Sus scrofa: one gene and its partners. The protein of the gene in region 6 purifies or fractionates together with the protein of the main gene of each other region. This does not show direct contact. Links are inferred from orthologs where the notes say so. Each region holds a gene or a part of one and is shown on either strand. Other genes may lie near its edges. The genes, in order: ARID1A, PBRM1, SMARCD1, VPS72, DPF2, ACTL6A and SMARCD2.

What was found.
Region 1: the proteins of ACTL6A (region 6) and ARID1A purify together in Homo sapiens (affinity purification with mass spectrometry; 5 studies listed by BioGRID and IntAct, with this or other methods). This does not show direct contact. The link is inferred for Sus scrofa from reciprocal best matches to the Homo sapiens genes ACTL6A and ARID1A.
Region 2: the proteins of ACTL6A (region 6) and PBRM1 fractionate together in Homo sapiens (co-fractionation; 4 studies listed by BioGRID and IntAct, with this or other methods). This does not show direct contact. The link is inferred for Sus scrofa from reciprocal best matches to the Homo sapiens genes ACTL6A and PBRM1.
Region 3: the proteins of ACTL6A (region 6) and SMARCD1 purify together in Homo sapiens (affinity purification with mass spectrometry; 8 studies listed by BioGRID and IntAct, with this or other methods). This does not show direct contact. The link is inferred for Sus scrofa from reciprocal best matches to the Homo sapiens genes ACTL6A and SMARCD1.
Region 4: the proteins of ACTL6A (region 6) and VPS72 purify together in Homo sapiens (affinity purification with mass spectrometry; 3 studies listed by BioGRID and IntAct, with this or other methods). This does not show direct contact. The link is inferred for Sus scrofa from reciprocal best matches to the Homo sapiens genes ACTL6A and VPS72.
Region 5: the proteins of ACTL6A (region 6) and DPF2 purify together in Homo sapiens (affinity purification with mass spectrometry; 5 studies listed by BioGRID and IntAct, counting the BioPlex papers as one, with this or other methods). This does not show direct contact. The link is inferred for Sus scrofa from reciprocal best matches to the Homo sapiens genes ACTL6A and DPF2.
Region 7: the proteins of ACTL6A (region 6) and SMARCD2 fractionate together in Homo sapiens (co-fractionation; 5 studies listed by BioGRID and IntAct, with this or other methods). This does not show direct contact. The link is inferred for Sus scrofa from reciprocal best matches to the Homo sapiens genes ACTL6A and SMARCD2.

Annotation. Positions count from the first base shown.
Region 1 is NC_010448.4:84,115,729-84,119,228, reverse strand, and holds part of ARID1A (AT-rich interactive domain-containing protein 1A), read right to left. Parts: intron 3,382-3,500; coding exon 3,249-3,381; intron 3,081-3,248; coding exon 2,905-3,080; intron 2,575-2,904; coding exon 2,424-2,574; intron 2,343-2,423; coding exon 2,202-2,342; intron 2,118-2,201; coding exon 2,021-2,117; intron 1,560-2,020; coding exon 668-1,559; intron 305-667; coding exon 174-304; intron 1-173. UniProt on the Homo sapiens protein: Involved in transcriptional activation and repression of select genes by chromatin remodeling (alteration of DNA-nucleosome topology).
Region 2 is NC_010455.5:34,814,618-34,818,117, forward strand, and holds part of PBRM1 (protein polybromo-1), read right to left. Parts: intron 2,112-3,500; exon of another isoform or gene 2,034-2,111; coding exon of another isoform or gene 1,986-2,033; intron 357-1,985; coding exon 204-356; intron 1-203. UniProt on the Homo sapiens protein: Involved in transcriptional activation and repression of select genes by chromatin remodeling (alteration of DNA-nucleosome topology). Required for the stability of the SWI/SNF chromatin remodeling complex SWI/SNF-B (PBAF).
Region 3 is NC_010447.5:15,991,493-15,995,606, forward strand, and holds the start of SMARCD1 (SWI/SNF-related matrix-associated actin-dependent regulator of chromatin subfamily D member 1), read left to right. Parts: upstream 1-1,314; coding exon 1,315-1,491; intron 1,492-2,143; coding exon 2,144-2,331; intron 2,332-2,579; coding exon 2,580-2,622; intron 2,623-2,718; coding exon 2,719-2,841; intron 2,842-3,321; coding exon 3,322-3,444; intron 3,445-4,114. UniProt on the Homo sapiens protein: Involved in transcriptional activation and repression of select genes by chromatin remodeling (alteration of DNA-nucleosome topology).
Region 4 is NC_010446.5:98,061,074-98,065,060, forward strand, and holds the start of VPS72 (vacuolar protein sorting-associated protein 72 homolog), read left to right. Parts: upstream 1-1,187; 5' UTR 1,188-1,299; coding exon 1,300-1,416; intron 1,417-3,987. UniProt on the Homo sapiens protein: Deposition-and-exchange histone chaperone specific for H2AZ1, specifically chaperones H2AZ1 and deposits it into nucleosomes.
Region 5 is NC_010444.4:6,876,499-6,879,998, forward strand, and holds part of DPF2 (zinc finger protein ubi-d4), read right to left. Parts: intron 2,072-3,500; coding exon 1,979-2,071; intron 1,793-1,978; coding exon 1,714-1,792; intron 1,205-1,713; coding exon of another isoform or gene 1,163-1,204; intron 152-1,162; coding exon 14-151; intron 1-13. UniProt on the Homo sapiens protein: Plays an active role in transcriptional regulation by binding modified histones H3 and H4. Is a negative regulator of myeloid differentiation of hematopoietic progenitor cells. Might also have a role in the development and maturation of lymphoid cells.
Region 6 is NC_010455.5:117,618,915-117,622,414, forward strand, and holds part of ACTL6A (actin-like protein 6A), read left to right. Parts: intron 1-1,518; coding exon 1,519-1,580; intron 1,581-1,970; coding exon 1,971-2,085; intron 2,086-2,231; coding exon 2,232-2,312; intron 2,313-3,500.
Region 7 is NC_010454.4:15,090,477-15,094,725, reverse strand, and holds the start of SMARCD2 (SWI/SNF-related matrix-associated actin-dependent regulator of chromatin subfamily D member 2), read right to left. Parts: upstream 2,801-4,249; 5' UTR 2,725-2,800; coding exon 2,509-2,724; intron 1-2,508. UniProt on the Homo sapiens protein: Involved in transcriptional activation and repression of select genes by chromatin remodeling (alteration of DNA-nucleosome topology).

The DNA of each region.
Region 1 (3,500 bases), on a different chromosome or scaffold from region 6:
TCTCAGTACTGGGGGCCCATGGCTGCTGGCAAAGTACTGGCTCGAAAGGTATCAGAGAACAAGTGGGAGGAGATCATGTTGACCAGGGATGGCTTAATTCCCTGGTCGCTTAGCACTGTCTTTGTCAAGAAGATCCTAGGCCTTCCCAATCTTCCCCAGGCACCTGTACTCACCTGACTGAGGTTGAAAGTCATGATGCTGTTGTCATCGTACAGCAGGATGTTAATGGTGTCTAATGCCCATGTGCTCTCTGCCAGCAGCCCAGACTTGAGGGACATCATCACCCGCCATGCCTCCGGGGTTCCTGAAATAAACCTCCACGTCGTCCATCCACCAAGCCCAGGTTGGCAGGGGCCCTCCCACCCCAGAGCTGGCTCATCAGTCAGGCTACTCTGAAGAGAACACATGGTGAGAGGCAGTTCCCATCTGGGAGATGACACACATCTGCCCCTCAGGGCTTCTAAGCTCTCTTAGGACATCACTGTGTGGCGATTCCTTTAGTAAAGCCTGATATCAGATGATTTCTTCCTTACCCAAAGTTCTTGGACTCTCTTTTAGTCAACACTGGACCTGCTTTTAACTCATCCAGAACATCGGGATGGAGAGAGAACAATGAACAAGATGCAAAGGGGCAGATTCAGCAACCCAATCAAGGAGGTCTCCTTACCGATGTCTTTCATTGTAAGCCGCCTCCTCTGCTTCAACACAGGCTGTGTGGCTTCAACAGAGCCAGGTGGGAAGGTGATATCCCGCCGAATCATAGGGGGCTGCACAGGGGCAGGTGCTATGTGCGAGGCAGGTACTGGAGGACCTGCCTTCTGCATCTTCATCCCAGAGTGCAGGAAGGGAGACTTGCTAGGAGAGGTTCGGTTCTCCATTGGCCGGGGCAGGGGAGCGGGGCTGGATACCTGAGGAATGTGATTCTGCATGCTTGGTGGGGGCTGGTAATTAGATGGCGGGGGCCTCGTCATGGGGGGCACCGGGGCAGAAGGACCATATGGGGGCTGGCGTGTGCCATGGGAAGGCCATGGGCCTTCATGGTTGGCCCTCTGATCCGTGTGCAGCATTTCATCTGTTCGGTTCACGCCATGATAGGCAGGGCCTTGGGGGGCAGAGCCCGTGCTCTGCCTGTTGGCGTAATTATAGGTCATGTCATTACGCCCCTGCCACATGGTGCCTTGTTGAGCAACCTCAGCCGATGCCTGTATGGGGCCGCCCATCATCTGCGGTGGCATGTTTTGCTGGGCATTGGAGCCAGGGGGTGCTGAGACACGGTCTCGGCCAAACTGGAATGGAAACTGGTTCTGGGGGCCGCCTGCTGGTCGGCGCTCAGTAGCAGCAGTGGCAGTGGCAGGATAGGCGTTGCCATACTGGTTGTACACATCTTGCTGAGGGGAAGGCTGAGCAGCTTGTTGCTGGCTGGCAGGCTGGGGCTGGGCTGGGGGCAACTGCTGCTGCTGGGGCTGCCCCTGACCCGTGCTGTATGGCACGCTGTACATCTCCCCTTCATGCCGCTTGGCAGGAGGGCCGTATGTGCCATCCATTGGCCGCTTGTAATTCTAAGATAGGGACAAGCAGAGGGGAAATTAATACTCTGAACCCGGGGATAGGAGACCTACAGCTGACAAGATGGCTACATCAGACACGTACTGGGCTTACTTCTGCCCCTCTGAGAGAGGAGGGGACACAGATTCCATGGGAACAAAAGAATCACCTTTACACGTTATCTTTTGAAATTGTTTCTGAAAGTAAGAACCATTCTTTGTTCCCTCTGTCTCTCCCTTGCTCTACGTAGAAAAACGTAGCAAAGTTTAAAAATCAAAATAAGGCCTGTTTCTAACACTTGCAGAGAACTAGAGACTGGATTAGACTCCAAACAGGGAGAAGATTGAGGGCTTGGCTCTTTAGACAAAAATGGCTATTTGGGAAGAAGAACACCAAACCATCTCAAGTTTTTGACCAAGGTTTTCTAACTGGCTCTCAGAGGAACCAGTGTCATCCCACCCACTACCTTTCTCACCTGCTGCTGCTGCTGATACATTGTGGTCTGCTGGCTGGGGAAGGGGCTGCCGGAAGGGGTGCCTTGAGTGGAGAACTGATTGCCATAGGAATCATGTCTGCAGGAAGGAGAGAAACAGAGGATCAGGGTGGGATGGCGAAAAGCCTTAGCCACAGCAGCACCAAGACCAAGCTTCACTCACCGTTGCTGCTGCTGCTGTTGCTGCTGCTGTGGGGGGTAACGGCTAGGAGAATACATCCCCGAGTCTGGGGTGGAAGGCATGAGATTCGGCTGTGGGGCTCCAGTGCCCATGTTTCCCTCGGGTCCTATTCCAGGCTCCGTCCTAAAGAAAAAGCAGAGAAGCAGGTTGAGTCCGTGCTAGCCGTGGGGTCTGGGGTGGGACTGGAGTGGGGGCCATGCTTACCTCACTCTGTCATAAGGACCTCCATAGGGATAGTGCTGCCGAGGTCCCATCGCCACATTTCCCAGCCCAGGGCCGGCAGCTCGACTGTAGGGGTCCCCCATCCCGCCGTTGGGGCCCTGCCCTGAGGACATGAAGGGATCACTCCCTGGAGCTGAGAGCAAAAGGGAAGACAGTGAGCAAAGTGGTTGTTCAGCAGGCCTAACAACCTATACTTTGCTTGCCCCAAAGGCCAAGGACCTCTCAGAGCTCAGGTTTGTTCCAACTATTTTTCTGACAGGATTGAAACAGAGATCTAAAGAGGCATGTAAAGGGGTGACACGGTGAAGAGCAGGAAATAAAAAAGGAGGATGAAGGAGGGGGTTAGGTCCAGAAGTGCCTCATCTCAGAGGATGGTTCAATAGGAACCTTGAACCACTCTCAAGATATCCCCCCATCCCCTGGCCCTGTCCTGAAGGACACAAGGCCAACTGCAGTTGGTCACCTTTCCTCATGCTGCCATAAGGATCCTTATTTGGCTCGTAGGACATGCGCCCCATCATGTCAGAGGTATTCATACTGGGCTGGTACCCAGGGTTTGGAGTCATGGAATTCCGCTTCTGGAATGTGGGGTCACTTCCATCAGGAAAGGCATCCTGGATCCCGACTGAATTGCTCCTGCTCAAGAGTGAGGAAAGCTCATTAGACCCCAAACGAAGCTATTACTCCAATAACGCGAGGCACATGGGTTCACTGGTCGGGAGACCAGGGACCCCCTGAGCTGCACAGGAGCTCATGCACTTCGGGCCCAGGATTCCCCAAAGCACCTGCCCCTGCTCCTGGCCTCACCTCATGCCTGGCAATGGGGGGATCTGGCTGTGTGGTGTGGATGCTGGAGTTGGTGGCTTCAGGTCTCCTCCTTCTGCCATGGAACTGCTGGTTGACTGAGGTGTCTGTGGCCCCTGCATTGACCCTGATCCCGCTGTGGACAGAGATGCAGGGTAAGCAGGAAAGCGTTTAACCCTCACAGAAACACACAAATGTCCCAGAATCTCTATGAAAAAGATTGTTATGAGGCTAGAGCTGTCTGTCACCCTTCTC
Region 2 (3,500 bases), about 83 Mb from region 6:
TGCTGATATACTTTATTATTTCATAATACTAAATTACTCCATCACTCAAATACTTTTGGCTAAATATATACTTTTCATAAAAGAAAAATTGAGAATATCAAACCAGAGGAAAAAGAAGCACACAGGCCTTGCATCATAACTGCTTATCATCGGAGGAAGGGTAGCGAAGACAGAAGACAGAAACTGTGATCCAAGTTACTCACAGGGTCTACAGTCGGAAGACTGGAAAGTCTCCTCCTTTTCCTGCTTGGGCCTGGTGTGGACACAGAATGGTGCCCGTCATCAAAGTCCCCGCTGACACTACTGGAAGGGGAGGTAGCTCTTCTTCTCTTGGAACCCATGGAATCCAACTTCTTCTATAAGAAATAATTAGCCATGTTCTTATACTTAAGTTTATACTTTGCCACCAAGCCCTCAGCTGGCCACTGACTACCAAGCTTCTGGTTCACTTTGGAGGATATTTAAACTGTTGCAAAGAAGGTTAACTACTTTTTTTCAGGGCAAGTCCTAAATCTTGCTTTAGCCCCTTCGCTTACCAGAATGCTACACTTACTTGGATGGGACAAATTCAGCAAAAGTATACTCATTTGTACATTACCAATTTTGAAGGAATCAATCACTTCTAGCCTCAAATTTATTCTGGACTGGAGTTTGGAAAATGCAGTGGTACACCAGTGTGTTAAAGGTATTAATCCCTTAGTCTCTGAGGCAGTTAGGCAGGCCTCAGGGACAGAGACCCCAAGGTGGTCACCTCTGGAGTCAGCAACCTCATTTGTTTTCCCCCGTGTTTCTTACAATTATGATCAATCTCCAGATGGGCCAGGATGTGGGGGAAAACAAAAAACAAAAAACAAAAAAAACTGGAAGCAGACCTTGATGCAAATATGTAGTGCAAAAGGGTAGAGGAACAGAGGACTGGTTAACCTTCTAGCATTTCAGATATGCCCTAAATTAACACACTGAAAATTGAGTTTTCTCCATTCCTTAAAACACTTAACATGACTTACTGTACCTATGCTAAAGTAGCAAATCTGTGTTTTAAAACTTTTCTGTTAATCCAGACTAACTTCCTTTTCAGTTATGTGACGTACTCAGCTCTACTCTAAGGAACTCACAGCTTTATATTTTCAGTAGGTGATCTGGAAGACCACCTCAGAAGTGAACTTTTAGGTCCTCCTTGGCCTTTCAGAAATATGTAAATACTTGCTCTCGGTTTTAGTAAGGCTACTAAATAATATTAACACAACTTTACAGATACACATATTTGACTATAACACAAGAAATGCAACTACTGAAATGATCTGCTACAGCTAGAGGGAAAGGGTGTATACCCAAGAAAGTCCTACAAGGTTTATACAATTTAACAACATCAGGCAGTATATTATGATTTCAAAAGTCTTTCTCTAAAGCAAAAAGAAAAAAGTGATCCCAATGTCATTCATCAACATTCAATTTCAGGAAACTAAGACACTAACAGCTGAAAGAATGGGCTGCCAGTGGTATGGAGAGAAAAACTGGGTATCTCCAGGGAACAGAAAGCAGAAGCAAAACAAACCAACAAATAACAAATTCTGGTAACCAACTAAGAAACAAGAGGAGTTTCTTATCTCTTCCTCTGAACTGCAATCCACATGGTGTTTAAACACAGAGTCTAAAGTGATGATGTTCCTTCCTACGGGACTTGGTTTGTTATACAGTGTATTAGTTTGCAATTGGCCGAAGCTTCAAAGGACTTAGACCAAGGCCAGCCAAATATTGCTGATCTTTGTTTGCTTTATAAAAGGTTGACAAACTGGCCTTACTTCATTAAGATGAAGAAACTAAGGACCAGACTTCTGTAAACAGTCTATGACGAGGACACAAGTGAATTTGATGAACATAAGGTGGGACTCTTTATGAAGAGGATAACAAAATTTAAGAAAGGTGGAAGGGAAAAGGCAAGGAAGGACAGAAAAGGAAAAGGGTGTAGATGATCAGTAATTTACCAGCTTTACCAGAGCACAACCAGCGCCTCGAAAAGCCAGTCTCCTCATTATGTCTGAAGGCCAAGTGAAGCCAGGGGGAGAAGGCAGGGCTTTAGAAGTGCTGATTCAGTGTTAATATATTCAAAACTGAAAGAGAAGAACAAGGCAGAGAAAGGGGAAATAAAAAGAAGGGTCAGAAAGAGCAAAAATGAGTACGGATAGATAGAAAACATTCAAACAGAACTGCTAAAGAAAGATAAGAGAACTGAAGAAAACAGGCATATCAGTTCTGTTCTGCTAAGCAAACCACTGCAAAGGGGCAGGCACTAATAGTACGCTTCCATTGCTTCCATTTTTAAAACCAAATGCTTTTCACATGCTTAAAGATGTCTCACTGAGGCTCCCCTTTACTCACCTGGAATGACTGTCAATTCCAGGAATGAAGCATGCCTGTCCAACTGCCCCCCAGTCAATAAGAGCAGAGTTCAATTAGAGTTGGAATGAAGGGTGAACACATGTGGAAGGCTCACATGTGACACCAAATGTTAGCAAGCTGGAACAAACTAAGAATGGCTCATGTGAGCAAAGAGTCTGAAAACTCACCAAAAAAAATTCAGAGAAAGACATTTCTTTCCTAAAGTCCTAAGAGCATTGAAAGGATACCACATGCAACTTTGGAAAGGTTTAAAAAGGGGGGGGTGGAGTTCCCATTATGGCTCAGTGGTAACAAACCCAACTAGTATCCATGAGGATGTGGGTTCAATCCTTGGCCTTGCTCAGTAGCTGAGGGATCCAGCATTGCTGTGATCTGTGGTGTAGGTCGCAGACGAAGAGTTGGTTTGCTGTGGTGTGGGCCAGCAGCTGCAGCTCCAATCTGACCCCTAGCCTGGGAACTTCCATAGGTCTCAGGTGAGGCCCTAAAAAGACCAAAAAAAAAAAAAAAAAAGCCTTCAACCATGTGGCAGGAGATCAAAATTACTTTTGCAAATAATCCACTGAAAATCAAATGACAAAAAATGTAAATCACTGGGGTATATGTATATATAGTTTAGACCATACAACATCAAAAACTCCTTGAATCATTAATTTACTTTGGTAAGAAAAAAAAAGGTCCTTATTACCTAAGAATAATTTTCAAATCTCATCCAAAGAATACATTTTAAAATGTATTTTGGAAGTTTAGCAAGAAAGGAAATGTAGGAGGAGCAATAAGACCTGAGCTCAGAAGACAAGAGACCCAAGTCTTTCATCTCTATCCATTTGATGTTGCTTGAGTTACAACCTCTCAGATCTGTCTCTTCATTTCTAAAATGAGAACACTAGAGTGTACATACCTCCCTGAGATTGTCGTGACAGTGAGATGTACGTGAAATCACTTTGAAACTTCAAAGCACAACAAAAGTGTTAAGTTTTAACTCTAGGACTGCATGCTCCCTTGGACACAGGAACAGCATTTTTTTTTCTTTTTTATTTTTTTTAGGGCCACACTGGCGGCAGCATATGGAAGTTCCCAAGATAGGGGTCAAATTGGAGCTG
Region 3 (4,114 bases), on a different chromosome or scaffold from region 6:
CTAGAGGGGAAGTTAAAACTCTGCCGTTCTGTCCCTCCCTTCCTACTTTAATGAGAAACCTGTGAGGCCAAGGACCTGCCGTGCCTCCTCCACCAGGCGCTCCCCTCAGGCCAGAGCGCTGCCTCTTCCCAGGCCTTCTCTGCCCAGCTGTCTCTCAGTCTCCACCCCCAGAACAAGACCTGTGGCAGGTCACCTGTGCATTGACCTGGAGCTGCAGGGTGAGGCTGTAGGATCTTTGGGAACTCTGGGTTCCTGGGAACTCCTAGGAGATCAGACCTCTCCAGAGGGAAGCAGGAGCAAGGCCAAAGGGTGTGCACCAGATGGGGAACAGCAGGCAGGGCTATGGGTGACGCATGTCTCTGGTCTAATAAACTGGGTTTCAACCATCTCCTCTTCAGTGTCGTTCTTCTCTTATTTGAATAGTATGTAGGACTTCCTACTAAGAGCTGACCTTGGATTGGGGCCAATCAGGGGAGGAGTAAGGGAGCCAGAGCAGGGATACGCTGGTCCTGGGATGGGACAAGCTGACCATCACACCAGAAATGGTTTGAACCACTGGGCAGGGAAAGAGGAAGAGATCAAAGGTTAACAAAGATCCCAAAGAGAAATCCTAGTACAAAGGAGGCTTTGGAGACGGCGTGGGGTCAAACTTCAAAATATACTTAAAATCTGGAAGCAGGTTAGGTTAAAGGTCAGGGGAAAGGCTGGGTTGAAGTTCTAGCATTAGGTAGTTATTGAGGCACTTTATCTGTGGCATGAGCCCTGGGCTATGAGCCAGACCTGGATTCTAAGCCTTGGCTTTCGCGTTAACTTGCTGGTTGACTACACCGAGTCATTTCCTCTCGAGTTCACCTCTCCTGTTTGCAAAATGGAAAGGTGCGTCCTCCTCTTCGGCTCCTGGGCTTAGAGCCGGAGGAGAAGGAAAAGAAACACGCGCTTTGGAAAGTTAAAACGCCCTGCGCCCAGATGAAGCAGTTACTCCATCACCCTCTTCATCAGAGCTTTGGGACGGTGCTGTGGTCCCCCTTTCCAGGTCCTTGTCTTCCTCCCGCCGGCCTGGGGGCGCCCGCTCACGGGCCTCTCTATCCCAGAGCTCTTCTCGATGGTGTTCCCTGCCGGACCGCGAAGGCTGGAGGGAGTGGTCAGCACGCTTTTTCCGCTCGTCGCCCCCCTCTAGCCCACAGTCTCGCTGCCCTGGGCCTCCCGTGCCGGCGGGCCGGCCGGGCGGACAGGCGGGCGCGCTGGGGGCGCGCGGGGGCGGGGGGAGTTCCGGTTCCGGTTCTTTGTGCAGCTGCAGCAGCGGCTCCGGGAAAGATGGCGGCCCGGGCGGGTTTCCAGTCTGTGGCTCCGAGTGGCGGCGCCGGAGCTTCAGGCGGGGCGGGCGCGGCGGCTGCCCTGGGCCCGGGCGGGACTCCGGGGCCTCCGGTGCGAATGGGCCCGGCGCCGGGTCAAGGGCTGTACCGCTCCCCGATGCCCGGAGCGGCCTATCCGGTGAGTGGGGCAGGAGGAGGGGCGCGCGGGCCGGGGGCGGGGCCGAGCGGGGGCCTGGGAGTGACGGGGTGGGGGGAGGAGTAGGAGGGACTCCCCTGGGAGGGATTCGGTTCGCGAGGGAGGGTCGGGGGAGGCAGTGCGCGGAAGGGAGGGGAGGCGGTTAGCATCCCCACCAGCTCGTAGGGGCATTGTTTCCTTGGGGAGTCGGGGTGTAGAACCAGGGTGAACGAAGCGGGGCCAAGGGTGGGCTTGTGAGAGTTGGAGTGCAAAAAGGCTTAGGCAGCTCCAGTGCCCAGAGGAGCACAGAAGGTGTACCTGGCAAATTGAGGTCAGCTTTTGAGGAGATGGTAGCTGGCTGTGCTGTCTGAGTACTGGGAGCAGAGGAGATGTCCAATGGCAGATACAAACTAGACTGGGGAGAATTTGAGTATAATCTGCTCTCTTAGCTTTGGGCTGGAGTCCCCTGTGGGATCACAAGTGGAGCAGAGGAAGCTCCAGTGATCTATATTTCAAAGAGGTAGAGGGGTCTTCTCCCACCCCCCATGCCCCCAGCCTGGTTCGATTCAGAGAACTCAGGCTTCCCCCACTTTCCCTTTCCTGGTGGGGTTTGCAAGGGAAGCCATGACATCTCTGGGTCCTCTCCCCTCTGTAGAGACCAGGTATGCTACCAGGCAGCCGAATGACACCTCAGGGACCTTCCATGGGACCCCCTGGCTATGGGGGGAACCCTTCAGTCCGACCTGGCCTGGCCCAGTCAGGGATGGACCAGTCCCGCAAGAGACCTGCACCTCAGCAGATCCAGCAGGTCCAGCAACAGGCGGTCCAAAATCGGAACCACAAGTAAGATGACCCCAGGGTGGAGAGCGGGAGGGCGGACACAGGTGGTGGGAGTACCTCAAGCAAGAAGTGACGACGCTGTGTCAGCAGACAGTGGAGACTGTTTCGTGTTTGGTGGGGGTGGGGGGTGTCTTTGATTTGAGAGAAGCTTTGCGGTTCTTTCTCTTGACTATAAATGGAGGTGCTGACAGCCTGTCTTCATGTTCTGGCTAGTTCCATCCCAACCTGATAACAGTATTTATTCCAAACAGTGCAAAGAAAAAGAAGATGGCTGACAAAATTCTACCTCAAAGGGTGAGTCCAGGCTGTATAGGTCTTCTTGAGGGTGTGTTGAGTTGGAGAAGAGAGATGGCCAGCTCTAGATCCCAATGATACCTTTCTGTTCCTCAGATTCGTGAACTGGTACCAGAATCCCAGGCCTATATGGATCTCTTGGCTTTTGAAAGGAAACTGGACCAGACTATCATGAGGAAACGGCTAGATATCCAGGAGGCCTTGAAGCGTCCCATCAAGGTAACGCAGGAGAGTGCTAGGCAGAGAGCCAAAGGAGAGGACTCGGGAACCTTCAGCAGGCTAAGGATGAGAAATCAAAGGCATAGCGCCGCTCTCCTTGGCATTTAAATTACATCTCTCCCTTCCGCCTACAAACCGAGAATTACATTAGAAGCATAAGAACAGAACAGCTCAGGGGGAGGGGCTTTTGGTAGTTCTTGCACCAGAAATATACTCTGTTGGTGTTTTTGCTATAACTGCTCTGTCACCTTGGGAACCTGGCACCTCGCATGACTTTGTCTACCTGGCACCCCAGTGCATGCACTTGCATTTGGGCCAGTGGCCTGTGCTCTTCTAGGTGGAATCTCCGTCCACCCACCCCAGGGCCTGGGTAAATAGTAAGCCAGTCTGTTAGGAGACGTTTTGGGGTTTGGGGAGACCCTGGTCTTCAGCGTGAAACCACTGAAGCCCCACTGTCAATCCTGTTTCTGCCTTCCTCAGCAAAAACGGAAGCTGCGAATTTTCATTTCTAACACTTTCAATCCGGCTAAGTCAGATGCCGAGGATGGGGAAGGGACGGTGGCTTCCTGGGAGCTTCGGGTAGAAGGACGCCTCCTGGAGGATGTGAGTTCAAGGTCCACTGTGGTCAGCATCTAGGGTGGGAGCTGCTGGGAACAAGCAGTATTGTCTGGTTGGCAGGAAGCCTGACTGGTGCTCACAGCTCCTGTTGGGAACAGCAGGGAGAGGGTCACTGTGTTCCCTGCGCTAAAAGACAATGGTTCTTTGTGTCTGGCTCCCACAGCCTGGCTCTCTCTGTGGTATCGTATGGAGAACCGTATTGCCCTGGGATTTGATTTGTTGTTTGTCTCCCTCCTGATGCTGCTAGCCCTTGGATTTGGCAGTATCTGCAGATTTTCCAGTTAGGGTTGTTCTGGTTTTGTTTTTGTTTTTTAAACCAAGTGAGTTTGCACTTAGCATTTGAGGCCCTGCTTTCCTCCCAGAGTCCTTGAGGTCCTTGATTCCCGCTGCAGTATTGCCGTCTTCCCAGTTTCCACTGGAGACATTTCACAGTTTCCATGGGCGAGGTCTCTCGGACAGGCTCTTTGCTGCCTCATGGGGAACATCAGCTGACAGGTGATAGCCCCCAGACTTCACACCCCAGAAGCTCCTTGGGGAAGCTCACCTGCCATTCCCTTATATTCTCTTGCTCTCTATTTTTAGCTGTTCACAGGCAAGCCAGTATGAATGCATTTTTCAGGAGAACCAGGGCTCGTGTCAGAGCCTCCTTCTTTTC
Region 4 (3,987 bases), on a different chromosome or scaffold from region 6:
CTACTATTCCGCCACAAGAATTTTGGACTTTCAGGCAGAGAAGGACAAACATCAGGAGTTCCCGTCTTGGCTCAGCGGTTAACGAACCCGGCTAGAATCCATGAGGACTCGGGTTCAATCGCTGGCCTCACTCAGTGGGTTAAGCTGTGGTGTAGGTCACAGATGCAGCTCAGATCCTGCATTGCTGTGGCTGTGGTGTAGGGCAGCAGCTGTAGCTGATTCAACCCCCAGCCTGGGAACCTCGATATGCAGCGGGTGCAGCCCTAAAAAGAAAGAAAGAAAGAAAAGAAAATAATAAAATAAAATAGATAATCAGAAGTTGCTTTGTGTAGGTCGAAGCTCTGGCTTGGATTTGATCCCTAGTCCTGGAACTTCTGCATGTCATGCGGGTTGCCGAAAAAGGGGGAATTTTTTTTTTTTTTTTTTAATTTTACTTAAGGAGTTCCCATTGTGGCTCAGTGGTTAACGAGTCTGACTGGGAACCATGAAGTTGCGAGTTTGATCCCTGGCCTTGTTCAGTGGGTTAAGGATCCGGCGTTACCCTGAGCTGTGGTGTAGGTTGCAGAAGCGGCTGGGATCCGCGTTGCTGCGGCTCTGGCGTAGGCCTGCAGCTACGGCTCCGATTCGACCCCTAGCCTGGGAACCTCCATATGCCACGGGAGTGGCCCAAGAAACCGCAAAAAGACAAAAAAAAAAAAAAAAACAACTTACTTAAAAAGACGAATGGGTATATGTATAACTGAATCACTTTTCTGTACACCTGAAATTAACACAACATTGAAAATCAACTATAATCCAATATAAACTAAAAACTAAATTTAAAAAACATTTGGACTTTACCCTGTAAGTCGACAAGGAAGGAGCCATTAAAGATTTTTGAGCAAAAGTGTGACAAAATCTGGGTTTTTAGAAAGGTTCCTACTGGCAGCAGAGTGGAAAACGAACTGGAGCAGAGGGAGACTGACCTCTTCTAAATGAAAATTTCTTGGCTCCCGATTTCTGCACTCAGTGTAGCGGGGTTTCTGGGGGTCACCAAATCGAAGTATTTCACAGCCCAGATGGGCGCCGGAACTGGGGCGGGGAGCTTGGGGTAGTCTCTGCGCAGGCGTGGGCGGGGCTGAAGCCGTGAGAAGATTTCGGGGGCGGGACTAGGAATCTCTCGACGCTCTGCTACTTCTGCCTGTAGATGACCGGCTTCCGCCGTCGCATGCCGCCCGCAGGTAGTGGTGTCGAGAGCCGATCCTTGAGGACCGCGCTGTGTGAGGGGTTGCTGGTGGTGGCGCAGTCTGAGTAGGCACTATGAGTTTGGCTGGGGGCCGGGCCCCCCGGAAGACCGCAGGGAACCGGCTTTCTGGTCTCCTGGAGGCAGAGGAGGAAGATGAGTTCTACCAGACGACTTATGGGGGTTTCACTGAGGCAAGAGCCGGGCCCAGGAAGAGGGAGGGAAGGAAGCTGAAAGGAGTCCTGAAGGGAGAAACCTCGGACAAAGAAGGGGGTGGGGGAAGAGAGGATCCTTGGTAGCTGATACTCGAGATGGGGTGGGCGAGACTGGAGGATAAACTGGAGTCCTGGAAGGGAGAGTCCTGGATGGCTGAAACCTGCTGTGTACTTCCCCAGCTGCATCTCTCATTGCACTTCTGACGTCTAGCATACAGCACATCGTAGTCACGCGGTGTATGCTCGTTGGCCCACTGCCTGGTTATTCATCTCAAGTATAGAAAAGAAATCTCTCTCAAGAAAAAATAGAGGCACTTAGCATACTCCTTTTTCAGCTTTCAGATCTCGGTGTAAATGTCTCTTGGGTAAATAGCCTTTCCTTGATTGTGCTAAGAAGTTTCTCCCTATATATCTTTCGTAGAACCTATTTCGATTTGTAATAGCTTTTGCTGGCTTGTTTATACTTTTCTATCAGATTGTAAGCGCTTTAAGGTTAGAGATAATCTGTTTTGTTTAACAGTACACATGTCCAATGCCTGGTCCAGTGTCCTCATTGGGTTGGCACTTGTTAAATTTTATATTGATTGAATCTAACCGTTCATCAAATATATTAAACGCATAGAGCAAGCCAAGAACTGTGATAGGCTTTAGGGAAACAGAGTATTAAAAACACCACTTTGGGGAGTTCCTCTGTGGCTCAGCCAGTTAAGGGCATGGTGTCACTGCTGCCGCTTGGGTCACCTCCTTTGGCACCAGTTCAGTCCCTGGTGGGGAAGTTGCACATGGCTCCAGCGCAGCCAAAAAGAAAACAAACCAAAAAACAGACCCCACCATTTTGTTCTGACATATTCCAGATTCCAGTGGGGGAACTAGCTGAATTAAGTCAGTTTAAATTCCACATGGAGCCAAAGTTGTTTGGGATAGGCATCAGGATAAGCTGAGGACCATATGAAAAGTGGCCTTGGCTGGCTGAATAGTGGTAGGAGTAGGAGCAGGGGAAGGAGGAGGGTTGGTCCAGCGAGGGGGTGGGGCAGAGATGTATAAAAACGCTGAGATCCTTGTCAGGGACCTGCATATCTACTGTCATTATCCAGACCATGAAGGAGAATAAAGGTTGGTCAGGCTGGAGGGAGTAGGCGTGGGCCAGATCATGGAGGGCTTGTGAGCCATGTTAAGGAGTTTTGCTCTTCATCCAGAGGACTGAGAATATTTGTCATAGTTTTATGATCAGATTTGTACTTTATAAAGATCACTCTGTATTGTGGATTTGAAGAAGGCAGCGGGAGTAGAGAAACATGATCAGGAGGGTTCAGGAGAAATTAAGGAGAAATAGAATCCACAGGACTTGGTGACTGATTAGGAATCATCACAACAACCCCCTAAGCAAGTAGTTTAAAATAGAACTTTCCCATCCCTCCTCCAAAGGCCATTTTCCTATTCCTGTCATTTTACGAGTTGTTATTTAATATGTACCCTTCCTTCTTCCAAAAAGGATTTAAGGAGGCTTACGATATAAACAAAAAGTAGGAACAGTAAAAATAGAGACAGATCAGAAGTAATTGTACCAAGAGCCTCAGCTAAAATGGTAGTAGCAATTGATTTTAAATTTAGCTGTGAGCTTCCTGGCAGCCAAACCCTGAATTTCTTTTTTCAGTAGGAAAGAAGCATACAAGTTCTTTAAGAGAGACAAACTTATTCAACATTAAATCCTAGGGAGAATTGCGTCCTTATATATAAAGTAACAGGGGTTTGGTAGATGATGTAAAAACAGTCTCTTGATTAGTCATGTCTATTAATGACCCTTGATAAAAGCCAAAGGAATGGTAGTAAGTCCATAACTTAGTGAAAGCATTTCAATTGGGCATTAAGCTAATGTGTAGTTGAACTGCTACCTCTGGTGATATGACTTAGTAGGGTCAGAGCTAAGGGGATTAACATGTTCCCAGGCTGTCTTTCACAAACATCAGTTGGGAGGAAATGATGGTCATCAGTGCAAGACTGAAGCTGACAGGCTTGGAGTGTCAACTGTCTGTTATTTGCTTGTTTTGGCAGTGTGTATACCAAGATTAGCCCGTTAGTCTCATCATTGATTGAAGAGAAAGCCACATGTTTGAAGTTCTGCCCCACCCAATTAACTCCTTCGCCTCCAAGTGATTTTTTTTCTTCTTTTTTTTGCCTTTTTAAGGCTGCACCTGCAGCATATGCACGTTCCCAGGCTAGCTGTTGAATCCGAGCTGTAGCTGCCAGCCTGCTCCACAGCCATAGCAACGCCAGATCTGAGCCTGGTCTGCAGCCTACATCACAACTCACAGCAAAGCTAACGTGACCCATTGGGCCCCGAGGCAACTTCCTTCTTTTCTAATCTTGTAGCCCTACAGGGCAGTCAGTTAATGTTGGAAGGAGGCTGTCTGTGCTAGCGCCAAAGACAATCAGCTAGGACAACTTCTTGCCAGAGATAACCTGCTTTACTTAGGTCCAAATCCTTATTCCCTAATCATGCTATACGCATTCCTGCTTCTACACCTTTGTTCCTGCTGTTTGATCTGCCCA
Region 5 (3,500 bases), on a different chromosome or scaffold from region 6:
CACCTCAGCTTACATTTCTGCTCCTCAGACCTCTGGGAAACCGGGGTGGGTGGCTGCGAGTCCTCCTTGTCCTCGCCCTCCTCCTCAGCCAGGTGGGAATGGGCATAGTGGTAGCTGAGGCCTGGTCGGTTCTTGTAACGTTTTCCGCAAACTGAGTGGGTTAAAGATCACAGAGAACGGTGTTAGGACGTGAGAGGGCCATATCCCTGCCCCACTAAGCTGGGAGCTCTACCTGAGGCAAAGGTAACCACCCCCATCAGCTCTGTTCAGGGACAGGCCTTCAGTGGGAGCTGCCTCCCCCTGGCCAGGAACCTCAGGTCCTGGGGCTCTCTGGCTTGCATGGCTCTTTTTACTAACCCCAGCCCAAGGCCATCTCTACTCTTCTGCACAGGCTCTTAGGAAGGCTGAGCCCTTGCCCCATCACCACTTGCCCTGGGAATAGTCTGGGGAGCTCCAAGTCAGGAAGGAAAGGGAATTTCTATAGCCTTGCAATATGGCAGGACAGACAGAGGGAGGAGGGACTCCAAACTTGTTTACCTCTCAGTAAATGCGGGAGGTTCACACTACCCCATATACACCACAGCCCATCTCTGCCCAATGTGGATAAACGAGCAGGGGGTGGACCTCTTGGGGGATCACCTATCAACTAATCTGCTGGAGTAGTTATTCCCCAAAGAAACTCAAAGACACCCCCACATCAGTGCCCCACCCAACCTCACCAACCAGCAAGAAAGCAGATCCCCATGAGGCATCTCGTACTCTTGAGCAGTGATACCAAAAAGAGCAAGGGGGCAGCAGAAAAGGGACGAGGAAGGGATGGGTGGAGGAGGTGGCGGATGGCAGGGAACATTAGCTGACCACCATGTGTCTGTTTTGGGGAAGGGGCAGCAGAGGGATCTGTTTGTAATGCGTTCTTTACAACGCTTTTGAAGCCACCCCATGCAGTGGGCCCGAGCAGCCCTAGGAGCAAGTCTGTGGGAGACAAGCAGTGGTAAAGGCAGCTTCCAGGGCTGTGAGGAGTGGAGCACAACAGAAGGCCCACTGCTCCTATCCGCATGCCATTCCACAGTTTAAAACCAGCATCACAGATGAGAAAGGCAGGAACAAGGGAGGTGGGACAAGGGATAGGAAAACCAAAAGTCTGAAAAGTTGAGAGAGCTACCTCTCTGGGGCGCTTTCGAGGTATGCTTTTGTTTGAAACTATCTGAAAGACAGAAAGAAAAGTCATGAGAAGAAGGCCTTGATACACTCGAGACAGGTGCGGCAGCAGCAGGAAAGCAGAGCAAACGAGAGAGAAACCTCAGCGGCGATGGTGCTCCCAGGGTAGAGGGACAGAAGTGGGGCGAGTCAGAGAAAAGGGGGAGAGAGAACAGACATTGAAAAAGTCGGTGTTGGACTCCTGGGGCTCTGGTTCGACTAAGGCAAGCAGACCTGAATGCCATTTATTGAGGCCAACCCTGCCTGCTGGGTGTGCCCCCTATTGGCACCCCCACCCCAGAGGACAGCAGACATCTCCCCCAGAACATGCAGGGCCCACCCGTCGTGTAGCAGAAGCCAGCACCCCTCAGGGATCTCAGAGGGAACCAGTCAGGGGCAGGACAAGAGTCCAGGCTTGTTTTACCATTCTGAGCAAGAACACAACCTTCCCTCCTCTCATATCCCGAGGAGCTGGGTCCAAGGCAAGGACTACCCACCCACTCGCGAGGCACTCACTGTCACAGGCATAGGGTTTGTCCCGATCCTCCAGGATGGAAGCGTCCAGCTTCTTACGGGCACTGCCCACACCTTTACCCTGTGAAAAAAGAGTAAAAAGATGGCTTTAACTAAGGTATCTCAGCCTAAAGAGTTAAGACTCACCTGGAAGCGGCTGCGAATCTCACTCAAGAGGGAAAATGACAACAGGTAATAAAACTGTGGGAAAACAGTAAGCAATAAATCCCCACTCCCTCAGGCTGGAGGCCGCACCCTGGCCCCTCACCTTGGACTTCCCCTTGCCCCGACGCTTGGGAGTGTCTTCTTCATAGTCCTCATCATCGAGGTCATCCAGGAAGTCATCCGGTTCTAGGATCCGCTGAGTGGACAAGAGGATTAGGACAGGCAGAAATAAGGTACTCCCAAAAGCTCCCCGACAACGGGGAGCCAAGGCTGCCCAGAACCTCCTCTGTTTTAGTTCTTCTCTTCCCCCCCGGCCGTACCACATGAAGAAGTTCCCAGGGGAGTTCCCGTCATGGCACAGTGGTTAACGAATCTAATATCCACGAGGAACCGGGTTCCATCCCTGGCCTTGCTCAGTGGGTTAAGGATCCAGCACTGCAGCTGGCCAGCAGCTGCAGCTCCAATTTGACCCCTAGCCTGGAAACTCCCATATGCCATAGGTACAGCAAAAATAAAATAAAAATAGGCGTTCCCGTTGTGGCTCAGCAATAATGAACCTAACTAGCAACCATGAGGATGTGAGCTCAGTGAGTTAAGGATCTGGCGTTGCCGTAAGCTGTAGTGTAGGTTGCAGATGTGGCTTGGATCCCGTGTTGCTGTGGCTGTGGCACAGGCTGGTGGCTACAGCTCCAATTTGACCCTCAGCCTGAGAACCTCCATATGCCAAGCGTGTGGCCCTAAAAAGACAAAAAAAAAAAAAAAAAAAGTTCCCAGGGATCAAACTTGTGCCACAGCAGCGACCTGAGCTACTGCAGTAACAATGCTGATCCTTACTGTACTGACCCACAAGGGAACTCCCAGAACCTCCTCTGTGACCTGGTCCCTTCCCTCCAGCCTCACTGCTGTTCTTTCAATGTTCTGGGTTCTCCTTCCTCTGGGCCTCTCTTCATGTTGTTCCCCTAACTTAGAATGCCTTTCCTACCATCTCCAAGTAGCCAAATCAAATGCCATGTTTTCATAAAACTTTCCCTGATACCCAAGGTAGCCATGCCCTCTCCTGCCTGTGGACTGCCACCCTGGAAGCATGTTATCAGTGGTTCCCTCTGACACTTCATTTCCTACATTTAAATTAGAGCTTTGCTGCTTCCTTGTGGGAAGCTACTTTTTTTTTTTTAAACTCTGCTTCAGCCTCCTTCTACATGTTTTGTTTCTTTTTCACAGCTGCACCTGCGGCATAAGGAAGGTCTCAGGCTATGGGTCAAATCAGAGCTGGAGCTGCTGGCCTATAGCATCGAGGGATCTGAGCCATATCTGTGACCTATGCCACAGCTTGTGGCAACACTGGATCCTTAACCCACTGAATGAGGCCAGGGATTGACCCTTCATCCTCACAAAGACTAACTGGGTTCTTAACCTGCTGAGACAGCAGGAACTCCAGCCTCCATATATGTGAAATGGGGTTGTAGAGACTGGAGAGAAGGATGGAAAAGTATTTAGTACAGCACCTGGAATATTTTTAGCTCTCATTATTTTTATGTATAGTTCTATCTTCCTTGTTGGTAAGCACCAAAAAACCTTGGTGACAAAAGAAGACCAATCAATGCCAGAGTTCCCGTTGTGGTGCA
Region 6 (3,500 bases):
AATTTTCTATGGCAGGGATATATCCTATTTGACAGTTTTTTACACCTAAGGATAAGTATTTTGGGGGGGGGGTTGGTACAAGGAAAAATTTTGAAGCTTATTAATAATTTCCCTAGGAGTTCCCATCATGGCTCAGTGGGTTAAGAACCCAGTTAGTATCCATGAGGATGTGGGTTTGATCCCTAGCCTCACTCAGTGGGTCAAAGGATCCGGTGTTGCCATAAGCTGTGATGTAGGTTGCAGATGGCAGCTGCAGCTCCTATTTGACCCCTAGCCCAGGAACCTCTGTATACTGCAAGATGCGGCCCTAAAAAGAAGAAAAATAATAATAATAATTTTACCTAAATATCAACGAGATTTTTCCTTAGCAACTCAGAGGTCATATGTATTTCACAACTTTTAGACTGTTTTATACTATGTCAGTCAAAAAATTACGGAAGATGCAATATATATATATATATATATTTTAAAATATATTCAGCTAATGAAATCTTGCTAAGTCTAAGCTTATTTAATTTAATTAATTTATTTATTTTTGCTTTTTAGGGCTGCACCCTCAGCATTTGGAGGTTCCCAGGCTAGGGGTTGAATTGGAGTTGTAGCTTGCTGGTCTACGCCACAGCCACAGCAACGCCGGATCCCAGCCGCATCTGTGACCTACACCACAGCTCACAGCAATGCTGAATCCTTAACCCACTGAGAGAGGCTGGGGATTGAACCCATATCCTCATGGATATTAGTCAGGTTCCTTAGCCACTGAGCCACATGGGAACTCCCTAAGCTTATTTTAAAGGATAAAACTGTTCTAAAGCCAATGTTGTTATGTAGGACTATGGTACAAGTATTCCCACTTGTTTTTTATCTCATCATTTTTCCCTGATGGTTATTTATTTTTGCTTTTTAGCGCCACACCCGCAGCATAAGGAAGTTCCCAGGCTAGGGGTCAAATCAGAGCTACAGCTGCTGGCCTACACCAGAGCCACAGCAATGCAGGTTTCAAGCCCCGTCTGCAACCTACATGACAGCTCATGGCAGTGCTGGATTGCCTACCACTGAACCAGGACCAGGGATCGAACCCATATCCTCATGGATACTAGTTGGATTTCGTTTCTGCTGTGCCACAACGGGAACTCTGATGATGGTTACAATTTAAATGTTATACAATTTAGCTTGTAATGTGAGTGTTTAGAATTGGGTTTCTTGAGGCTCAGAGACCTTGCTGGGTAGATTTATACCCTCAAAATGATTTAGCCATCCAGGTATGTGGTCCAGTTTCATTAAGAAAAGTTTTTTTTTAAATAATATTTTTCAGAGTTCCCTGGTGGCTCAGTGGCTTAAAGATCTGGTGTTGTCACTTCTGTGGCTTGAGTTGCTGCTGTGGCATAGCTTCAATTCCTGACTTGGGAACTTCTGCATTCTGCAGACATGAGCAGAAAAAAAAAAGTTTATAAAAATATAGATTGCAAAGACAAATTTCAATAACCTTGTGTCTTAACTCTTTTTTTGTTTAATCCTTAGTGTGTTATCCAAGATTTTCAAGCGTCAGTACTTCAAGTATCAGATTCAACTTATGATGAACAGTATGTTTTCTTATTTTTTCTATGAGGCTTATAATTTAAGAGCTCATTAAAACCTTCATACTAATCTTTTTAAAAATTGTATAATATGTTTGTGTGTATATATAATTGAATTACTTTCTTGTACACCAGAAATTAACACAGCATTGTAAATCAGCTATACTCCAATTAAAAAAAAAACTGCATACTTTATAAATTAGGACAGAAATTGATTAGTTAAACAAATTGTAGAGTATGCTTAACTGGTCTAAAGGTAAAAAGTTAAGAAGTACTAAATAACATTTTAAAAGAAGATTCTCACTCTGCTTTCTTACCTGTTGTTGATTCCTTAGTAGTTTATAATTCTTAAGAGGATTGCTTTTGTCTTTTGTTTAATATTGTTTGATGTTTTAGAGTAGCTGCACAGATGCCAACTGTTCATTATGAATTCCCCAATGGCTACAACTGTGATTTTGGAGCAGAACGGTTAAAGATTCCTGAAGGATTATTTGACCCTTCCAATGTAAAGGTATAAAAGCTTATTTCATAATTAGCTTGGTTTTTCCTATAAAAATCTCTATGTAATTATAAATCCTAAATAAGGTTAAATTTTTTTGGATGTGCTTTATTGTTTGAAGTTCTTCTTTGTGACTATTCGTTTCTGTTTTGTTGTAGGGATTATCAGGAAATACAATGTTGGGTGTCAGTCACGTGGTCACTACAAGTGTTGGAATGTGCGATATTGATATCAGACCAGTAAGTGCCAGTTTTATTTATGGCATAAAGCTGTCTTTCAGGGCAAACCAGTGTCCCCGTTATTTATAATTGCCATCATTTAAGTTGGCAACTTTGGCCATTGACTTTGAAGTCCATTTTCTAATAGAATATGTAAAAAAATGAAGTCCCTAGCAAAGGAAAAATGTGTAATTTTCTTTTTTTTTTTTTTTTTTTTTTTTTTGTCTTTTTAGGGCTGCACACGCAGCATGTGAAAGTTCCCAGGCTAGTTGAACTGGAGCTGTAGCCACCAGCCTACACCATAGCCACAGCAACTCGGGACCTGAACCACATCTGTGACTTACACCATAGCTCATGGCAACACTGGATCCTTAAACCACTGTGTAGGGTCAGGGATCAACCCTGCATCCTCATGGATACTAGTTGAGTTCGTTACCACTGAGCCACGACAGGAAGTCCCAAAAATGTGTAATTTTAAAGCTGTGGTGTCCAGTGTGGTAACTATTGGACACATGTAGCAATTTCAAATTAAATATTTTAAGTTTCACTTCTTTAGTTGCACTAGCCACGTCATAAGTATAGCTACTTGCTAGAGAACGTTTCTGTCATCACAGAAAATTCTTTTGGACAGTGCTGTTCCAGAATGTGGCAAGCCAAAATATGTTATTGGTGATTTTTCATGTGTGTAGTTCAGTTTTATTTTTCAGGAAGGTGTGGTTTAAATTCTGTAACTTTTACATGGAGTTTAGTGGGGTTTTGTTTGTTTGTTTTTGGCTGCACCTGCAGCACGGGGAAGTTTCCTGGGCCAGGAATTGAACCTGCCCTGCAGTTGCAGCCTGTGCCACAGCTCCACTGTGCCACAAGGGAACTTCCAACATGGAGTTTAGTTTAGATCTTCTTACCTTCGTATTTTTTGTGCTTTGACAAATTTTAAGGACAAATTCCATATTTTATACCATATAATTATTAGATTACATATTACTTAAACCCTAGATTTAATTTTTAGCCAGTGTACTGCCTCAGAATTCTTTTTGAGTTAATTTATTTGCATGGAGCGTAGTGCTAAAACTAAGGGTGTATAAAAAGTCATGTTCAAAAAAAAACTTGGGTAGTTATGAAAAATATTCCTTATTTCAACTACTTAATTAGCCAGTTGTGCTACTTCTAGGACAATAGGGTTATAAGTTTAATATAAACTCAAGGGGAAGG
Region 7 (4,249 bases), on a different chromosome or scaffold from region 6:
CTTCAACAGGACTCTACCTCCACCATCTGGGACAGCAGGGGAGAGAGGCCAGCCCGATGTTGCTGCCTCCAGAGAGCATGCTCTGCCAGGGCTCAGAGCCTGTGGCCCTGGTGCTCCTGGTGGCTGGGCCTAAGGACCAAGGAGAAGAGAACATACCCCCACATACGTAGAAAATACTCTGAACTCTCTGGTGTGAACCCAGCAATCTGTGTTCTTGGGGGGGTTTGTTTTTCCCATTTTTTGTTTTCTTCAAGTTCCTTAGTAGACTGTGATCCACAGCTGGAAACACTGCGTGCAAGGAGCTGGGTCATCATTTCCCTTCTATCAACAAGATTGCCTATTTGCCCGCCGTGAGCTTGAGCGCCTTGCTCCCTGACTCACCTCGTGAGCCCCAACAGAGAGGTGCCCATTGCTCCTGAGATCTCAAGTCTCTTCTCCTGGAAGTCACATAAAGAACTTGAAAAGAGGCCAAGTAGGATCCTCTCTGCACTCAAGATGAGCTGCCTCCTCCTTCCCCCCATCTACCTTTACTGCCCCTCTGGTCCCTGGAAGAGAAGCAGGAGATGGGGAGAAGCCCACACAAGCAGAGGCTCAGTGCCTTCCTCAAGGTCTTGCTCCTGGTAGCCTGGGCTACCCAGCCAGCCAGCTCAGCCCTGCCACTTGCCCGAGGCCACCTGCTCAGGGGTTTTCCCCAGGCCACATTCCCCATGGGCTGCAGGTTGAGGAAAAGTGGAGGGGCTCCTATCTGCCCTTTAGATCCCTCCCAGGCCAACAGCCCAAAGGGAGGCACCTCAGCTAACTGGCCCAAGGGCCAGAATGACAGATGCAGGGACCCCTCCGTGACACCTTGGGCCAAGGGGGAGAGCAAGATGGGAAAGATGAATCCCAGCTGGAGCCGCTGGGACCAGGTCTGTCTCTATCAATACCCAGGCCCTAGGTTTTCTTTAGAGGGTGGAGGGAGAATGAGAAGTTAGAGGGAAAAATCACTGTCCCCAGTTAAGCATCTCTTTACAAAGTGAAGGCCCAGGGGTCCTGGGAGGATGTGTACCCTACTCTATGAGGATCCATTTGGGGGACCTCTACTGGAGACACGAGAATCTCCTAGCTTCCCTGAGAGATTAGCAAGAAGCCAGTGTCAAGTGCTGGGATACATGGATTGGGATACAGATGGCGTTGTGAGAACCTAAAAGGCTAATTAAAAGTGGGGATGGAGTTCCCGTTGTGGTGCACTGGAAGCGAATCCGAGTAGGAACCATGAGGTTGCAGGTTCAATCCCTGGCCTCACTCAGTGGGTTAAGGATCTGGCATTGCCATGAGTTGTGGTGTAGGTGGCAGACATGGTTCGGATCTGGCGTTGCTGCGGCTCTGATGTAGGCTGGCAGCTGCAGCTCTGCTTCGACCCCTAGCCTGGGAACCTCCATATGCCGCGGGTGCAGGCCTAAAAAGACAAAAGACAAAAAAAAAAAAAGTGGACAGAGGGTAGGAAAAGAATGGGCACAATTCCTAAGCATTCTGGGGCAACCAGAAACAATGAACTTGGGGGCTGGTAAGCCCCAACCCCAGGGTCAGGCTGAGTTCCTCACACACTGACCCCAAGAATGGAGTCTCTGCATCTCCATGGCCTTTGAAGCTGCAACCCAAGAAGCCCTCTGCAAAGCCAAGCACCAAAGAGGTAAGGACAGAACCCTTTGAAGCAACTCTCACAGGCTCCTCCAGCCCCAGACCAGCAAGGCTCACTGGAGCCTCTATGCTCCCCCAGACTAATCAACTCCTGGACACTGTGACACCAGGCAGAAAGCCAAAGAGAGTCTGTCCAGAATGGGCTGGGTTTCCCTCCTTTCTCAGGCCTAGCCACCACCCTCTCTGGTCTAACCCAGAGTCACCCCTGTGTGAAGGCCCCTGCGCATGACCCAGGAGTAGACTCCCCCTGCACAGGCTGGAATCGCTGGTCCTATCCTCCACCTCCTGTCGGTGGGAAGCCAGGCCCTTCTTCCTCCTCAGCAGCTGGGAGCCATCTCAGACACGCTAAAACTCTGCCAGTTCCCAACTAGAGAAAAAAGAGCAGCCTTGGAGTAGGACCAAGACCAATGTAGGGTAACCCTGGTTTCTCAGTGAGGGCCCTTTTCCAAAACTTTCTCATCACTTCCCAGGACCCCATTGCGGAGAATCTACACTAGACTTCTCAAGCCACCCGCCTACAATTCACTAGCTCCAACAACTCCTCCATCTCTCAGTTACTCAGAACCCCTGTTCCAAGACCTCACACCCTCCCAACAGCTTCAAACCCTTCACCCGAGAGTCGCTCTTACCTTCTCCCCTAACTCCTCCGCAACCACCTAGCCGAGCCCCAGAGTCCCTGGCTTTGCCCCGCACAGTGCCCCGTGAACTCCGCATGCAGAGCCCCTGTGCCCTCTGTCAGGAAGGCTGCTCCAGGACCCTCACTCGAGGCCTCTTTCGCCCCCTACCCGAGTGTGCTCGCGGCGCCGCCCGCCCCTCAGCCCTCCTCACCTGGTACTGTGCTGCGGGGCCCGCGGGGCCCATGGGGCGGAAGGCGGCGGCCCCCGGGCCCCCCACGCCTCCAGCCGGCCCCGGCCCCCTTAGCGCCGGTCCGGGCAGCATGCCGGGTCCCGCTGGCGGAGGCGGTGCTCCCAGGGCCGCGGCAACCGCGCCGCCGCCAGGGCTCAGCGGGGGCAACGGGAACCCGCCCGCGCCACGGCCCGACATCGCTCCGTCCCGTCCCGCGGTGTCTCAATCCGGGCTCCGGGCTCCGCGCTGAGTTCGCTCCGCGCTCCGCGGTCCGGGACTTTCCGATCTAAATTCCGGGTTCTGGGGTTTGTTGATCCGGGTTCCGGGATTTCCTAATCCAAGTTCGCGAGTTCCTCACAAACCCAGTTTGGGGCCGGGCCGGTCTTGATTCCGGTCCTGCCCGGGAAATTCCGGATCCGGGATCCGCTACGGGCCCGCTAGCCTTCGCCGGTCTCTGGAGGTTTCAACGCCAGCGTCCAGTTACCCAGAAGCTGCAGTTAACTCCCTCCCCCGCCTAACCCAGCCCAGCGCTAGGCCCCGCCTATACCCAGCTGGCCAATGCGAGGATGCCCCCTCAAATACCGCCCTCGCGAGACCCGCCCCCCTACAGGCACCGCCTCTAACCGCCGGTCCCCGGAGCCCCGCCCATACCCTTGGGCCGGCCCTCCACTGGAGGGGAGGGGGCGGAAGCAACTCAAGAAATGCAGAAGGTCAGAGGTCGAAGGTCACTAGCACTACTGTAGTAAACGGGTAGTTGCTGCTCTCTTCCCCCCTTGCGGCTGGTTCGCCGAGGTACCCAGCCTCGGTCCCTGAAAATAGTTGTCAGAGCTCCTTTCTACGTTTTAACATTACAGACAACTTAAAGCTGCTTTCTGCGGCAGAACAGCCGCCAGCGTGACTCTAAAAGCCCATCCTAGTGGCTCAGAGCTGTCAAGAGACTTGGCTGCTCCAGACCCTATGCAGCTGTGCGAAGAGTGGACTTGGCCAAGCGCCAAGTTTTTATCGCATATTTCGAACGTGCCTCTGCCTCACTTTAAGGAATTCTAATACTTTACTCCAGAGGAAATGTTTCTAGGAGAAGGAAGTTTGCATTATGAGAAACCCCTAAGTTAAATAAGGTCTTTCTCCAGGATTTAAAGCACTATTCAAAAACTTAATACCTTTTCGGAAATCAGATCTGTGTTAGCAGGTATGCAAAATAAAGCTGCTTCAGCTGTGCCAGGGAGCCCCTCTGACATTCTGGGATTTTTTTTCCCCATGATACAGACCAGTGCTTCTTTAAGGAGCATAAGAAACATCTGAGGCTTTTGTTAAAAATGCAGATTAAGTTTCAGTAGGCCTGGGTTCTAGGGTAGGCTCAAGATTCTGCATTCCTAACAAGCTCCTGAGCAATGCTGTTGTTACTCAGACTACACTTTTTAAGTATCCAAGATAGACTTTTTTACCATACAAATCCTCTCCTTTGTTTTCATCCCCAACCAAGACTTGCCCCACAGCGTTCCACATTTATAGAGCAACCATTTTTAGTCAGTTTTGCTCATCTGTACTTCCTGGTATCTTTCCTCCAGTGATAAACCCTGCTTTTGCTGCTGCTTTCCTGCCTCTTGGTCTTCTCAGGGATCCCTCTCCTCTTTCTCCCTAAAAGTGGGTTACCTGTCAGTCTGAGAAGACCACTAGAATTGTTCCAGTCATTGAACCAGGGCCCCTCTCTCCGGCTTGTAAA